Linked DNA regions of Elephas maximus indicus. The protein of the gene in region 2 interacts with the protein of the main gene of each other region in a pairwise test. Links are inferred from orthologs where the notes say so. Each region holds a gene or a part of one and is shown on either strand. Other genes may lie near its edges.

Region 1 (3,746 bases), on a different chromosome or scaffold from region 2:
TAGTTGCTGGAAGCGGAAGGGGCGTCTGGGTCCCTCCACGGTCGCGCCTGCCCTCCTCGGTCCCTCAGGGGCCGACCCTCAAGGCAGGGGCGGCTCCCCCGGCCTAATGGCGGAGCCCAGGCGGGCTTCTCGGGGCCAGGGGGCTTGGCATTGAACTCGTCCCAAAATAGCACAGCGTCCCGACAAAATGGAGGACGTCGTCTCCTGCTGCACCCACGGTGGTGGGGGGGGACTCTGTCCTACGGGGCGAGGCGAGGGTGGAAGGGCTTCCACTCAGTACCCTGGATTCCACCGCGCCCTCGGCCTCTGCTCCCCACTCGGTCTGGCCCCAGCCCTTCTCTACCGTGCCCCTCGCCCGCTGGGGCTCCAGGGAATGGACCGGGAGGGTGTTCGGGGCACCGAGGCTGGGTCTCTCCTCGGGAAGAGTCGTTCGGGGTCGCTACAGCGGCCTGCGTGCCCAGGCCCGGGCGAGAGAGGAGTGGCCCAGCCTCCGTCTCTCGGGCTGTCCTTGCCTTGGGGAGCCCGCTAGTACACCCGGAGAGCCAGCAGGCGACCAGTGCAAGGAGCCACAGGCATAGCATCCGCCTGATCCAGATGGCTAGCGGGGGTGGGGCACCGCGGGGAGGGTACTGGCGGGGAAGCAAAGAGGCGGCAGGTAGGGAGGGGAATGGAAACGCCAGAGGGTGTGGCCTGTGTCTGATGAACAGCCCTTTGGACAACCTCATCGAGGGGGTCCTGAAGGAAGGCAGATCGAGCCAATTGACGTGCCGGGAGCGCCGCGGCCCGTCTTCTCCCCAGCCAGTGAGGGGGCGGGGGAGAGGAAGGGGCGGGGCCTCCTCGGTCTGCGCTGCGCAGTCGCTGCCGCCGCCTCCTCCTCCACCTCCTTCTCCTCCTCTTTCTTGTTCTGCTTCTCATCAGCGCTAAACCCGGGACTGGACCCAGCGGAGTTGTGCTTGTTACCGAAGGGGGGGGTGGGTCGGGGGAGGGGAGGTTCGTTCCGCGGAGCCGCAGCCACAACCGGGTGAGGCTTGCCCCACTGTCTTCCAGTCCAGGTCCGGTGATAATGAGGGTGGCTGGGAACAGCGCAGCATCCGGAGGAAAAGGCGGATATGGGTGAGGGAAGTCTCCGGAGCCTCCCTCCCACCCAGGATTAATTTCCCGTGGTATGGCCGCCGTCGCCGCTGTCGCGCTGGGGCCTCGGGGGCTCCTCCGGGAGCCACTGATGTCACCAGTGCCTCTCCGGGAGGTCCGAAGGACAGCAAGGCCGAGCCCGGAGGGCTGGGTGAGGCGGTGGTCGCTCGGGGCGGGGTTGGCCCGGGGCTGCGGCCGTCGGGAAGTCGCTGAGGTATTTTTCCTTTCTTTCCTGCTGGGGGAGGCAGGGGAGGGGCGCCTCCGTTCGCGCTTTTGCTCTCTGGGCTGCACTCACAGCCTTTTCCGTAGCCCGCTGCCTCCAAGTTTTTCGGGGCGAAGGCTGCCGCCTCCTCCCTGCCGGGTCCCTCCTTCTCTCTGCTCCTTCGTGGAGCTGCGCGGCTGCTGCTCCTAACGTCTTACTTGGCCGAGTTTCTAATGGCGAACGTGAATCCGTTGCTGATTGCGGGGTAGGGGCGCGAACTGCTCAGGCCCAGGACAACTGCTGGGGGGCACATGTAGGGCGTGTTGGTACAGCGGAGATGGGAACAGCTCCTTACCTCGGAATTGATCCTGAAGTGACGGGATGTTGCTGGGTGGGTAAATTTAGGAGGGAATACAATCCTTTCCTGGGTTTGCCCTTCCCCCTCCTCCAACCTCCCATTAAGTATTTCGCATTGTCAGGTAGTTGTGGTTCTTAATCTTTTTTTTTAAACATAGCTTCTCTACTAAATTGAGCTGGGGGAAGGTAGAAAAGCGCCCAAGCTCCTTGACCTCTTAAACTTTGCCTCCTCCCTCTGGTGGTTAAGAGTTGATGCTGCGTACAGGTTGGGAGTAAGTAAATCATTTTTATTGCTCCTCTCGTTTTAAGACCAGGAACCACCCTCAGCCCTATCCGGTGAAACATTTACAGAAATTAAGAAGGAAAACATTCTCATTGTGAGTCACTTTACCCCGCTTTTCTAGTAGGCTTAGTGCAATAGTTGGATGTTCTTCCTGTGGGATTTGCCTTTCTGTGAAGAGCTAACTGCTTGGGTGGCAGCTGTCCCCAGAGTCAAGGCAGGGTAATTCCTGGGAAGAAAGTGAGAGCAGACGCTGGTATTTACACCACTGATACTCGCTGGAATTCTCAAGTAAGACTTGAAGTTAATTCCTTTTTAAATGTTTTGCCTTTAACATTTTTTTCTTTTCAGTCGATAGAATTAATTTTTTTTTTCTTAGCTGTTGGATTTTTAAAACTCCTGAGTTTTCTGTTGTCTTAAGGTTGAGGAAAAGAGAATCTTTTTCATGTGTTTGCCTTATATTTGAGGAAGGCTCTTATGTACCCTGATATTCCTCCAGCTAGTATGTTTTTTTTTTTTTTTTTTTTTAGTATGTTGGTCAGATCTAATCAGTCAGAGGCTTTCCAAAATGCAGAAAAAAAAAAAGTGCAGGGAGGTTGGTAAATATATTCTCTGGCAGTGCAGTCATTCCTGGACACAATTCTGTACTGTGAAAGAGGATGCAGCAATTTGGGGTGGATAGCAGCTCTTGCCAAAGTAGTGTCAAATAGTCAAAAAAAAATTTTTTTTATTGCAAGCTATTAGATATTTGCTGTTTTGGCTATGACGAGATGACCACTGGAGGATATTTCTGGGACAGGAAATCGTATTAAGTACTTACTAAAAAAGAGTCCCTGGGTACTGCACGCAGTTAACATGCTTGGCTGCTAACCAAAAGGCTGGATGTTTGAGTCCACCCAGAGGCACTTGGGAAGAAAGACCTCCTGATCTATTTATGAAAAATCAGCCATTGAAAACCCCACAGAGCACAGTTCTACTCTGACATATATGGGGGCGACATGAGTGTAATCAATTCCATGACACTGGATTTTTTTCTACGCTGTACAAAGTGTCGGGCATTGATTATTGTAATCGCTGCAAATAAATTGTACATCTGTAAAAAAAAAAAAAGAGTAGCTGCTGAAGCTGCTTATGTACAGCCAAAAACCTCGTGGAATTTGGTTTCTTAGTTTGCAGGTTTAGGGTCATGGTTTCATTGGACATACCCCTTAATGGTTCTGATAACATGTTTAGTGCTTCTGTTCTACCTTCTAATTCATTGAGTAGTGCCGGGGTCCTAAAAGCTTGCAAGTGGCCACCCAAGGCGTGAGAATTGATCTCCGCCTGGAAGGAGCTGCAGAGGAAGGAGAGTCAGGAATAGGAGGAGGGTATGGAATGTGTGGCTAATTGCCTCCATGAACAACTGCCTCCTTTGCCATGAGACCAGAAGAACTAGATGGTGTTCAGGTACCATTACTGAACATTTTGGTCAAAGATTTTATAGAGGAAACCTAGGGAGGAAAATGCAGAACAGCATTTGAAATTCTTATTGTCTCCAGACTTGGAGCCAGGAAGTTTGACTGACTCCCTCAAACTATTGCCCTGAGATAATCTTTAAATCTTAAACCAGAAATATCCCTGACATTTTCTTAAAACGAAGTAGTAGTTTAGCTTAACTAGTAAAAACAATATGTCTGCCTTGAGCATTATGCTCTTTTAAAAGAACTATCTGTATGGGGTCAAAGTGACAACTTGAAAGATCAGTTGGAACCTTAGGGGGCAATGAATTTATGTCAG
Region 2 (3,746 bases):
GAAATTCAATTTATCTATTTTTTTGGTAGCTTGCATTTTTGATGTCACATTTACGAAACTACTGGCTAATCAAGGTAAAGGATATTTACACCTGTGTTTTGTCTTCTAAGCGTTTTACAGTTTTAGCTCGTAAATTTAGGTCTTTGAGTAAATATTTTATATGATGTGAGGTAGAGAAAACTTCATTCTTTAGCATGTGGATATCCAATCGTTCCAGCACCATTTGCTGAAAGACTATTCTTTCACCACTATCTGGGCATTTTTGTAAAAAATAGATTGTAAATATGAGGGTTGATCGATTTACTTCTGGACTCTCGATTCTATTTGTCTAGCCTTATGCCTGTAGTGTCATTGTATTTTTAAAAATTTTTATTGTACTTTAAGTGAAGGTTTACAAATCAAGTCAGTCTCTCACACAAAAACTTATATACACCTTGCTACATAGTGTCATTGTATTTTAGAGATTGTAAAAGGACAACTCTTTAACGCGAAACAAAGTATTCAAGGGTCGGAATTAACCTCCTCTCCTTAGGGACTGAGAACTTTCAGTAGCGTCTTGTTCATTAGTAGCCAAGGTTGTGTCCAATAGGATCTTTTTTTTTTTTTTTTAATCAAGGTTATGTGTTTGGCTGGAGCTAAAAGGGTTAGCTCCTGGGTAAGAAGTACCAGTATTTAATGCAACACACTTAAGAAACATTTACGACGAAGAAGACCGGAGGGGACAAAAGGAAGTTATCAGCTTTTGGCTCAGCCTTTAGAAACGCGCAAGGTGTAAGGTAGGAGTCTGAATTGTCAATGTCGTTCCCATACTGCGGCCGGGGACTTTTCCCCTGTGTATGGGCTCGGGACTGAGGCGCAGGGTCTGGTCCTTGGATGAACTGGCGAGATTTCGGTTAAATCACTCGCGCTTCCATCGGTATGGCCGCTCCCGGGCCCTGCCATCTCCGGGCCGCTCCCCCATCCGTTTTCCCGCCTCGCCATTCCTTCTCCCCCCATTTCCCCTCCCAGCGCGTAGCGGAAGTGACGGAAGGCGTAGCGGAAGTCCCTCCAGCCGCGGTGTTGTGCTGTGGGGAAGAGAGACGGATTTGTAAACCCCGGAGCGAGATTCTGTCTGCCCGAGGTCACTGCTGTGCGGAGACCCCTGGGGTGAAGCCACCGTAACCATGTCTGACCAGGTACCGGGCCGGGAGCCGTCCGACAGCGGCGGCGGGGCCGTAGCCGGCAAGTCCGCCAGGCGCCTGGCTGCGGCCGGGGATGGAGGCGCGGGGGAGGGGAACGGGGAATGGGGGAGGGGGCGGCCGGCCTGGACCCGGACAGCGAGGGAGGGGAGCTGGCGAGGGCCGGCACCGTCGGGGCTTGCCGCCGGCCTCCAGAAGCCGCCCCGCCCCTCTCTGAGCTCGCCCACCGCCCCCAAAGCCTCGGCGCCTCTGGTCACCGCCTCTCTCCCTTCGTCCCTCCTTTTCCTTGGGGTCTGCCAGGTGCAGAGCTCAGCTTCCACCTCCCAGAGAGGGTCCCTGGGGAACCCAGCCGCCTCACTCTCCTGAGGACTGATTGCAGAAGCAGGGCCTTAGGCCTCGGTTATGTAACGGGAGAGAATTCCCTGACTGGGAGGCTCCGTGGCCTTGAAAAGCAGATGGGTTTCACTTTTTGGACGCCGGTCTTTGGAAGGTCCCAGAGTGGGTAGGAGGGTGGAACTCGGGCTGGAAGATGTTGTTTGGTGCTGCTGGGAACTTAGGAAGATGTCTTCTGTTCGGAGGGTTACAGCTAGAGCCGGGCCGCCGCGTCTCTTTGAATCCTTTTTCCGTTTGGGGGTGCAGAGCTGTTGCCTCTTTACTTGTACTTTCCCATTTCTTACTTGGGATTGGTTCAGCAACTCTCCAGTTGTAACAGAGCACTCAGAATAACCAAGAAACAAAGCAGAACAAGAGTACTAGAACAACAGAAACCCCCTGCATCTGGACATTAACCTGGAGATGACTGATACCTCTGAGGAAAGAATAGGAAAACTAAGTGTATGTAGAGCAGTTGCAGAAAGCTGCCCCTATGACGAGGTGCTCCATCTCAATAGTCTTGTTAGATGCTGTCGAGTCGCTTCCGACTCATAACGACCCAGTGTTACTGTCAGGAATTTTCTTGGGATTTGAACCCAATCGGGAGTGATCGATTTTCCCAGCTAAGTTTTTTCCCCCATTCGTTCATCTCGTTAACCACGGTTATGGCTAGTTTTTAATTCACAAGGTTTTTGTCTGGTCTTTGTTTTAGTTGCTCAGAGGACTATGACTTTTTAAAGTATTTTTGGACCGTTTATTTGTTCAGTGACAGTTATAAAAAAATGTTTTTTGTTCAACTCTACAGTTTACTTGAACTTTTAAATTTAACACACGTTCCCTTGGCCTTTAACCAAGTTTTGTATATCTTGGTGAGAGCAAGTTAGGCCTTCGTGGATTTGTACTATTGCATAAAACTTACATTTATGTTTTTAAAAATTAACCATAATCTAAATTAGTTTCGAATGGGTCTAGATTAATTCCCAAGTTGGCTATGGGAATGGCATTATAAGTATTTCCCTAGACAGTTGTTTACTTGGTTGACAGAGAGGAAAGAACAGGTGTAAATGCTTAGTTTCATCAGCCTTTTACTGTGATGCTCAGAAGTGACTAGGATGCATGTTGAAATTTGCTACATAGCCTGAGGAAAGAGTAACACACAGAAAGAATTATAAAATAAATTGTAGAATTTTTTGCCCTGGTTTGAAGTTAGGTCATTTAAGAAAGACATGAAGGAAGAAACAAAGGGCCTACAATACTAACAAAGTGGCCTTGAGATTCTTTTCAGGGGATCTGGAAAGCCCAAACTATTTTCATGATGATGATGGGACTTTTTTTTTTTGCCCTTTTCATTCTCATTCTTTCCGTGGAGTTTCTAGAGGCTACGTGGCCTGTAATATCATAACAGATTGAATATAGAAGCAGATGTGAGAATCCTGCTGCATTCTGTTAAACCCAGAAAGTAAAGAGATTTGCAAAAAAACAGTGCCAAGCTTCCCATGAATTTTGTTTTGAAAAACCAGGGCTTGAGCCCACTTTTCAGACAAGATTAGACAGGCTTATAAAACAAAGAATAACACACGTGACGAATGTACTTCTTAGTTCAGTCGAATGTATGAGACCAAATGGGCAACTCCTGTCCAAAAGCAAGAGAAGAAGGCAGGAAAGGACAGGAACTGAATGAATGGACACAGGGAACCCGGGGTGGAAAGGGGGAGTGTGCTGTCACATTGTGGAGATTGCAACCAGTGTCACAAAACAATGTGTGTATAAATTTTTGAATAAGAGATTAGCTTCAGCTGTAAGCTTTCACCTAAGGCACAATAAAATTAAAAAGAACCCCCGCCCCCCCACCCAGGGCTTCTGAGCTGGATTATTTCGGTTCAAACCCCTTGCCAAGAATGTGCATTTCTACCCAGATATTCTGATTCAGAATCTACATTTTAACGAGATTCCTGGGTTATTCTTATGTATACTAACTTTTGAAAGCCACTGCCCTGCTAGTGGTTCTCAGGATTTGTTTCTAACCAGCAGTATTAGCATCTCCTGGGAATTTATTAACCAAAAAAAAAAAAAAAAAGCTGTTGCGATACACTTGATTCCGAATCACAGTGACCTTATAGGGCAGACTAGAACCGCCCTATAGGGCTTCCAAGGAGTGGCTGGTGGATTTGAACTGCTCACCTTTTTCAGCCAAGC

The links. The genes of interacting proteins can lie anywhere in the genome.
Region 1: the proteins of SUMO1 (region 2) and ZMYM5 interact in binary tests that used the Homo sapiens proteins (3 or more experiments, as listed by UniProt). The link is inferred for Elephas maximus indicus from reciprocal best matches to the Homo sapiens genes SUMO1 and ZMYM5.

Annotation. Positions count from the first base shown.
Region 1 is NC_064841.1:49,070,909-49,074,654, reverse strand, and holds the start of ZMYM5 (zinc finger MYM-type protein 5), read left to right. Parts: upstream 1-965; 5' UTR 966-1,063; coding exon 1,064-1,113; exon of another isoform or gene 1,114-1,670; coding exon of another isoform or gene 1,671-1,724; intron 1,725-1,848; exon of another isoform or gene 1,849-1,942; coding exon of another isoform or gene 1,943-1,962; intron 1,963-3,746. UniProt on the Homo sapiens protein: Functions as a transcriptional regulator.
Region 2 is NC_064824.1:101,097,607-101,101,352, reverse strand, and holds the start of SUMO1 (small ubiquitin-related modifier 1), read left to right. Parts: upstream 1-1,019; 5' UTR 1,020-1,163; coding exon 1,164-1,175; intron 1,176-3,746. UniProt on the Homo sapiens protein: Ubiquitin-like protein that can be covalently attached to proteins as a monomer or a lysine-linked polymer.